2 linked regions of the Ovis aries genome follow. The protein of the gene in region 2 binds, or shares a complex with, the protein of the main gene of each other region. Links are inferred from orthologs where the notes say so. Each region holds a gene or a part of one and is shown on either strand. Other genes may lie near its edges.

Evidence for each region. Proteins that work in one complex are often made in the same cells at the same time.
Region 1: the proteins of ANKS6 (region 2) and ANKS3 are in contact, whole or in part, in a crystal structure (PDB 4NL9), measured with the Homo sapiens proteins. The link is inferred for Ovis aries from reciprocal best matches to the Homo sapiens genes ANKS6 and ANKS3. Residues at the interface, in NP_775822.3 of Homo sapiens: Glu796, Gln797, Glu798, Val799, Asp800, Glu802, Ala803, Thr806, Leu807, Asp811, Glu814, Leu815; in NP_597707.1 of Homo sapiens: Lys441, Tyr442, Thr470, Leu471, Phe472, Gly473, Pro474, Arg476, Lys477, Arg484.

The regions. Positions count from the first base shown.
Region 1 is NC_056077.1:4,380,481-4,385,079, forward strand, and holds the start of ANKS3 (ankyrin repeat and SAM domain-containing protein 3), read right to left. Parts: upstream 3,173-4,599; 5' UTR 2,884-3,172; intron 2,264-2,883; 5' UTR 2,111-2,263; exon of another isoform or gene 1,952-2,110; 5' UTR 1,820-1,951; coding exon 1,650-1,819; intron 761-1,649; coding exon 562-760; intron 408-561; coding exon 286-407; intron 1-285. UniProt on the Homo sapiens protein: May be involved in vasopressin signaling in the kidney.
Region 2 is NC_056055.1:49,050,166-49,054,118, forward strand, and holds part of ANKS6 (ankyrin repeat and SAM domain-containing protein 6), read left to right. Parts: intron 1-2,090; coding exon 2,091-2,135; intron 2,136-2,820; coding exon 2,821-3,025; intron 3,026-3,786; coding exon 3,787-3,893; intron 3,894-3,953.

The DNA.
Region 1 (4,599 bases), on a different chromosome or scaffold from region 2:
TAACGCCATGACATAAGCACCACCATCCTCTTTTCAGATAAAGAAAGCAAGGCCTACAGAGCTTAAGGTGCCGCACCGAGTGTCACCTGACAGGTGAGTGAGAAAGCCAGGACGCTCCCTGTGCCTCTGTGCTGGGCGGCACTGTCCCCTCCACCCCAGGTCTTGAGACTGCCACACCGAGGCAGGGGCTCCCACACTTTGGCCTCTAGCTGCCTCGACAGCTGCCCTCCTCCGAGTCAGATGTGACCAACCAACTCCCACGGCTGCGGACGACCTGGTAATGACCTCACGTTGGCGTTCGCTCCACTGTCCAAAAGGAACTTGACCATCTGCTGGTGCCCAGCACTGGTGCAGTGGAAAAGGGCAGTCCAGCCCTGAATGTCCTTCATTTCCAGCTCAGCACCTTGCTTCAAGAGAACAGAGAATGCCTGTTAAGGCCACGTCTCCTCTGCACAGGGCGGGCACCCTCCAGGCCATTACACTGAAAGAATCGAAGTGATTACCCAAGCATGCTGCAGTGCTTCCCTATCTGCCGAGTGGCCTGAGACCCTTGCAGCTCACCTGGAGAAGAAAATAGGCGATGCTCTCGTTGCCACAGCTGGAGGCCAGCATCAGTGGAGTCTGCCCTTCCGGGGTCGGCACATTCACACTGACCCCCGCCTCAAGCAGGAGGTGCACGATGGTATCATGTCCAATGTAGGAGGCATACATCAGCGGGGTCCAGCCACCACCGTTCTTCTTATTCAAATCTAACTCTCTCCTAAACAAATGCAAGACATGCTAGACACGCCAGCCATCGTACATGTGGGACTTACCAAACCCAGTGGCCAGGCCAAGAGAAAGAGTGGGGAGTGCTGACAGGAAGCAGAGTCAACCGCCACCCTGGACATCACAGGGTTCAGGGGTGACTCCACTTTCTGGACCACTGCCTCTGCAAACTACCTTGAGTTTGCCTCTGTGCTCCAATTTCTTGTTCTCATCTGTGCCCTCTTCCTACCCCAAAGTCAGCTCTTCCTTCCTCCCACCAGCCACAGAGACAGTTCTCAACCAGGGGAGGTTCTGCCCCCAAAGGATGGTTGGCAAAGCCTGAAGACATTTTTTGACTGTCATAACTGCGAAGGGAAAGGCTACATCCAGGGGGCGCAGGGAGGCCGGGCATGCTGCTCTGCATCTGCTGCTAAGGCGCTTCAGTCGTGTCCGACTCTGTGCGAGCCCATAGACAGCAGCCCACCAGGCTCCCCCGTCCCTGGGATTCTCCAGGCAAGAACACTGGAGTGGGTTGCCATTTCCTTCTCCAATGCATGAAAGTGAAAAGTGAAAGTGAAGTCACTCAGTCGTGCCCTACTCTTAGCAACCCCATGGACTGCAGCCTACCAGCCTCCTCCGTTAATGGGATTTTCCAGTCAAGAGTACTGGAGCGGGGTGCCATTGCCTTCTCTGAGAGATCTTCCCCGACCCAGGGAGTGAACCTGGGTCTCCTGCATTGTAGGCAGACGCTTTACCGTCTGAGCCACCAGGGAAGTCCACAATCTACCCATGGGTTAAACGTCTACAGCTGTGGGCCAGGCCTCGCTAGCCTCCTGATGGCTCCACCTGGGCGGTGGCGCTCAACCATCCGAGAGGAAGGAATGCCTCCCAGGACCTCTTACCGCTGCACACACTCCTTCACCACCTCGTACTGGCCAATGGAAGCGGCTGTGTGCAGATCCAGGGGGACAGCCAGCTCCTCCCGGTCGACCTGCGTGCCCAGCCCGTGCCACATGGACAAGCTGCGGTTCAGCAGCTCTGGCTCGCTGGCTTCATCGCTGAGCTCCGACATCGCGGTGGAGGGGGATGCTGGGGTCACTTGGGTCTTTCCTTCCTGGTAGTTCCAGGGGATGAAATGCGATGGTCACGCTCCTGCCGCAGCAGACTGCTGCCCACAGCAGCTGAACAATCCTGGCTGCCGAACCTGAACAAGAATCCAAATCAGCTGCAGTCAGTTCTGCACTCCTTTCAGAACACCCCTTCAGCCTTCTTTGGGGGTGTCTCTTCTACTCCAAATGCCTCCTCCAGGGTAGGACCCATATTCTCTTTTATTGGAGGCTCGCTCAGTTGGTAAAGAATCCACCTGCCATGTAGGAGACCCCGGTTTGATTCCTGGGTCAGGAAGATGCGCTGGAGACCCGACAGGCTACCCACTCCAGTATTCTTAGGCTTCCCTTGTGGGTCAGCTGGTAAAGAATCCGCCCGCAGTGCAGGAGACCTGCGTTCAGAAAATCCCCTGGAGAAGGAAAAGGCTACTTACTCCAGTATTCTGGCCTAGAGAATTCCATGGACAGTCCATGAGGTCTGTCAGACCCCATGAGTCAGACACGATTGAGCGACTTTCAACTGTATGAAACCAGGCACAACGCTGAGAGCCTATCAGAATCATGGAAGGAGAACGTGGATACCCAGGGACCAAGCTGCTTTATCACCCTGCTCCATGCCAGACGCTCTAAAACCACGGGCTATTCCTTAGGAACAGAGTCATCTACAGGTATATATCACGTATACTTGTCGAAAATCTTTTGCTTATCGCTTCTAGAATTTATCTCCAGGAAGCAGCACTGAGAATGAGATCTTTTAATTTTCCTTCCACCTTCGCGTTCTGTCCATTCGGTAAAATGCTAAGTATCTGTTACTTTTAAAGCACACCAAAGTAAATAACAACAACAAATGACGTTGGTGGTGACCGTCACGCCCACAGGGAGGAGGTCTGTAAAAGCCCGAGGGCACCGCGTCCTGCCCCGGGGCGTGGGCCTTCCGCTGCCTCCAGGCATCCCCACCTCGTTCTCGGGCCCCGGGGAGGGTAACCTAGGGAACTACCCAAGCGCCGACGCCTCCTCCCAGTAACCTTACCCCGCACGTGGCTTTCCGTCCCGGCTCCTCAGCTGCGAAGATCCTCGGAGCTGTAAACTCCCGCGGCGAACCAGCTGCAGGGCTGGGACGCCCCGCGAACGGGCAGCAGGTGCGAGCACCAGGCAGGGGCCGGGCCGCCGCGGAGCCTCCCCGCGCTGGGCCTCGGCCCCGGGCAGCCCTGGGGCCGCCGCTGGCCGCCGCGCTCCCTCGGCCGCGCCCACTCGGGCTCCCTCCGCGCCGGTCACCGCCACAGCGCGCGGACCCAGCGGCCCGCTCCCGCCCCGGAAGTGGTTGCGGGCGGCGCGGAGCACGACGGGACGCTCGCGGGTCCCCCTCGGCCTCTCCCGGCGCTGTAGATTTTTCGTCCGTCCCGCACCCGGACCTTCCGGTCAGCTCGCCCGGCTCTCTGTGTGACGCCCACAGCAGCCAATGAGCAGGGGGAGTCCTCCTTGCCCCGCCCCTCCGCTGGCCAGGGGAACCAATCGTGTTTCAGGAGCGGCAGGACGCGCCAAGTCCCGAAAGACGAGCGGGGGGGGTGGGTGGGAAGGATGTGGCTGTTCAGTGATGTAAGACTGATGAACCGGGATTCCGAAGGCGGCGACGGCCTTAGTAATCGCGCCGCTGCCCAAGCGGGAGAACACGACCGAAGAGGCGCGGCGGGCCCTTTTCGTCCCTGTCGAGGCCGGGAAGAGAGGCGGAGGCCGAGGCCGCAGCTGCGAGATAATTGTTGGGAGGTGGACAGGGTGGGGGCTGGGAAAGCAAGCTGGGGAATAGGTGGGAGGACGCGCGATGGTTTCCGGTTTCCGAACTTTGGAATTTAAAAGCCCCACCCGAGTGGCCGGTGGCGTCCAGTTGTCATAACAACCCGCGGTCCGGCGGTGGGCGGTGCCGGAGACGGGGCGGTAGGCGGTGCCGGAGACTGGGCGGTGCGCGGGGGCGTGGGGGGCGGGGCTGGGCGGGGGCGGGGCTAACGGGCCGCAGCCAAGAAACGGACGTGGAGGCACGGTCGGGATTATGCCAGACTGGGGCTGCTGCTTTGTGTGGCTTTCGGCAGCCCGTTCGGTGAGCGACGCTCCTCAACCTGGCGTTCAGGACCCTTCACGGTCTGGTCCGTTTGCACCGCAAACTCCAGCAAGTGAAAATTTCTTCCCCCAACACGTTAGGTACTTTTCACTCCTCTGAGCTCTTAGGTGCTCTTGCCGCAACCTGTAATGCCTTTTCTTTCTCTGTTACTTTGTCCTCCTGGAGAACTTAAGAGTCTCCGGTTGTCCCCTTCAACCAGGTGATTCTGTTGCCCTCTGATCTGCCCTGCAGCCGGAGAACATCCTGTGATGTATATACCAGACCTGCCCTGCTGTTCCCAGATCAGGGTACACCAAGCTCCTGTCCCACTCCTGTGAGCACAGAAAAAGCAAAAAGTCCCCATTCACCTCGCCTGCTGCTTCCCTTGTTGGGGGCCAGGGCTGGGGCAGGAGTGTTCTCTTCCCATTTTATAGTGACAGAGGCCTCTCAGGCTGCAAGTACTCTCAAGACGCCGGCTCTGAAGTGCCATCACCCCACAATTCTAAGCCTCCTTGACCCCTGAAGGGGGTCTGTTAAGACTCTGGGATACAAAAGGGGTGTGTTGGCCTGACAATTTGAGTGTCAACTCCAAAAAAAGTGTTCTGGGGACTCCAAAATGTCTATTCTGTTCCTTTGTAAGGGGGCAGTAAAAAG
Region 2 (3,953 bases):
GTGGTGAGAAAGAAAACAGGGGCGAGGTGGAGGATTTGGGAGCAGTGGAGGTACTGGGTGGTGCAGGCCACCATATGAAGCAGGGTCATTGGGTGGCCCCCGAGAGGAGCTGGGAGTTCAGCTGCGTTGCAGGAGCTGAGAGAGTGCTCCATTTTCAGGCTCTCAGAGAAGAGCCTTCAGAAGAGCCATGTTACTAATAGTGCCAGATTATTAAACAAATAGTATTTGGCCCCAGCTCTTTTTGTGAGGTGCTAGGAAACCCACCCCCTGCCCTCATCAGGGCCTTGGAGACTCCCAGCTCTCTCCCTCACATTAGCTGCAAGACAGGGTACCCTTGAGGCTGTAATCGTCACTGTGACACCCTCCTCACCCCCACTGTGGTCATTCCCTGGGCTGTGGAGGGGTCCCTGGAGTTGCTCTGATATTGATGCAATAATTGGAGCCCAGAGTGAGGAAGGGACCAGCCCAGGGTCAGTGGGCATCGAGCATAGCTGCTCCAGCCTCCTGAGGTCAGGCTAGACTGTCAGTGATTCGTTTGTACCAGATGGTTGCCTAGCAACAAACACTAGGCCCAGTTGACACATTCTTTTCTGTCGAAGAGTCTTGGCATGAAGGAGGCTGTGGGCTATAGCAAATTAGGCTCTTAAACACTTAAAAGGAATGAGACATATTTTTTAAAATGAAGTTTCATAATAATTTTTTTATAGTATCTCAAAGGCAGAATTAGGCACTTGGTTCCATGGCCCTGTCTATAGTTTCCTATAAGTGCCCTGGAGTTAACTAGTACCCTTTCTGGGGTGGGTGCTGGTCACTAGGAAAGATAACAAAAATTGTTGCTTGTGTGGTGGTGGTGATTTAGTCGCTAAGTCATGTCTGACTCTTGTAGTCCCGTGGACTGTAGCCTGTCAGGCTCCTCTGTCCATGGGATTCTCCAGGCAAGAATATTGGAGTGGGTTGCCATTTCCTTCTCCAGGGGATCTTCCCGACCCAGGCATCAAACCTGGGTCTCCTGCATTGCAGGCAGATGATTTACCAACTGAGCTATGAGGGAAGCTGTTTGTATAGAGCTTAAAAATTTCTGGAGCGTTTTCCCATCTATATTATCCACCCCTGCAACCACCACCTGCTCTCCATGTTAGCATGTTGTCTGCATTATCAGTGATGAGGAGACACATCTCTGGAAATAGGTGGATCCGGATATCCTGGCTCCAGACTCCTTGTGCCACTCTGCACCTTCTTCCAGCTGCTGGCGGAGGCTGATCGAGACCAGGGATGTGGTCCAGAGTCCCAGGTTTTCTCCTGCAGCTGCTCTATTGTCTGGTATTAGTCAAAGGAAGTCCTGCATTCACTCTTAACAAGCGAAAAGACTAGTCGTGAGGGTGGCTACTTTCTGAACAGGAGGGAGCAGGTTACCCACTAGCTCTAGCTTCAAGGAGGGTGATGCAGAACAGATAAGTAAGGGGCTGGCATTGGGTGGGTGCAGCGAGGCCCAGCATGAAGACATCAGAAGGAAGCATCTGCAGGTCTGGGTCATGGGTGGCCTTCAGAATCACTCAGATGGCTGCTTATTTGGGAAAGAAAGCAAATATTAGCATTGGCAACCATGACCTCCTCTGGGTTTAGCTGCCCAGTGTCTTAGGTATTAGAATGAAAACCTGCTCTGGAATTACTTCATGGTTGTACATTTACTTTTTAGAATAAAAGAATCATTGTTTCTTCTTAAAATCTTCATAGGAATACAGATTTTTCCAAGACTATACTTTTCCATTATATCTGAGAAAGGACATCCCAAAATTTGGAATGCCTAAAAAAGACTGCTTTATGAGTTGCGGGATCCGGAAATGGTCTGCTCATTCATGTTTTCCTGGCCAGATGACCTCCCACAGTCTGTCTCTGAAGCGTTTTCAGACAGTCTGATGATAACCCTTCCAGAAGGGCTGCTGGAGTTAGTCCATTACCTAGGTCTCTGATTAGATTGCTTGTGAAAAGTAAATCATTTTTAAAAGTAGGCTGGGTCGTTACACCCTTGTAACTTTTCTGTTATTTTGCACTTTTCCGTGGTTAACTTTTAAAAATCTTTGTTTACCCAGATGAGGAGAAAAGGCGACCTGATATTTTCCATGCATTAAAAATGGGTAAGCACTTTAGAAAATCTTTGGATATTTAAGAATATAGTACTGTTTCTCCCAAACTAATATTGATAGTCCTTTTCAAGGCCACCCAGAGTATTTGGGAAAGAAACAGGTGTTTTGTTGTTTCCTGACTCTGGTTTCACCCAGGGAGGTTCAGACCCTGGAGGCTGGTAGTTATGGTGCTTTGCATACAACTTCCAGATTATTTTCTCAGGCCCCCTCTGCCTCTCCTGCTAGACCCTGTGGCTATGTCCTAGCTTTTACTTACCTCTGAAATGCCTGGCTGCCCACCTCCCTACTCCACTCTCTGTGTAATGAAGAGCTATTTAGTCTAGTATTGCCTCTCCTGAAACAGACCTCCACCTCCAGGAAGCCCACCCTGATCCTCACCTCTTAGGGAGACCTGGGCTCTCTTTCTGCATGTGCATTGCCCCTCATCATCACTCTTCTTTTAAGACAGCAATAACACGTCTCTTTTTCAGTAAAGCTATTTGCGTGCTTGCCTCCATCCCTCATAGACTGAAGGATTGGAGAACGGGGGCTACCTCTGACTCATCTTTGTAGCCCCTGCGAGGCGCAGCCACCCAGTACAGAGGCCAGCTCAGCACATTTGTTCTGGGAAGCCACTGGGTAAATCATCCTGCAGTGCCAGGCCCGTGGATCACCAGGACTTCTGCTTCTTTGGCAGGAAACTTCCAGCTGGTCAAAGAGATTGCTGATGAAGACCCCAACCACGTGAACCTGGTTAACGGGGATGGGGCCACCCCACTGATGCTGGCAGCTGTCATGGGACAGCTGCCTCTGGTGCAGCTGCTGGTGGAGAGGCATGCCGACGTGGACAAGCAGGACAGTGCCCACGGCTGGACAGCCCTCATGCAGGCTACCTACCACGGGTCAGCACCAGCCCCACCCCCTCAGCAGGGAGCCTAAGAGGATGCCCCGGGCTGAAATAGGGTGCCTAATGGGTTGCTGGTCCTGAGACGCTACAAATAAGCGCCCCACACATTGTGAAGATGCTGAGACACTCAAAACGATGCAGGCTTGGTCTGTCCTGTGTTCCTACCCTTTGTGTCCAGATTTCCTATTGCCTCGGCAGTGTTACCTGGTGCTTCCGCATCCCTTCTCGTCCAGTCACCCCTCTCCCTTCCTGGACGCCTCCTCCTTGGGGCAGGCTGACCAAGGGGCAGGGATCTGCATATAGCCTTGCACCTGCTCGGTGGTGATCTGATTCCAAATTAGGGGCTCCGTCCTTGCCCCGCTTCAGGTGATGAGAGCACTCTCCTGTGTCCTCTGAAAGTGGCTTTCTTCCTCATTTGATCCTCTGACTTCCACATCAAAGACTCTGGCCTGCCGGAGGACTTTAGTCAGGTCCCAGTGAGGGGCAGAAGGGGTGGGGTCTGTGTGTGGTCCTGGGAGCCAGTGGTTTTGGGGCAGAGCCTTGTGTTTTCATTTTATTCGTGGAAGGAGCACTCAGGCTTTGATTTCTGTCGTGACTGCCCGCAGGGCAGGGAACAAGGGCTGGGGGACAGCTTTCCGAGCCCTCTTTCACGTGCACAGATGCTGCTGGAGTTAAGGCACCGCTCTTGTTGCCCAGGAGCAAGGCCACACTTTCCCTTTCAGCTGGTCTCACTCTGGCTTTTTGTTTCTTCCACAGGAACAAAGAGATTGTCAAATATCTGCTAAACCAAGGAGCTGATGTTACTCTTCGTGCGAAAAATGGGTACACAGCCTTTGACCTAGTGATGCTGCTGAGTGATCCTGGTGGGTTGTTTTAGGAAAAGCGTTTTAAATTTGCTGGGTTTTCTGACTGGGAATCCAGAT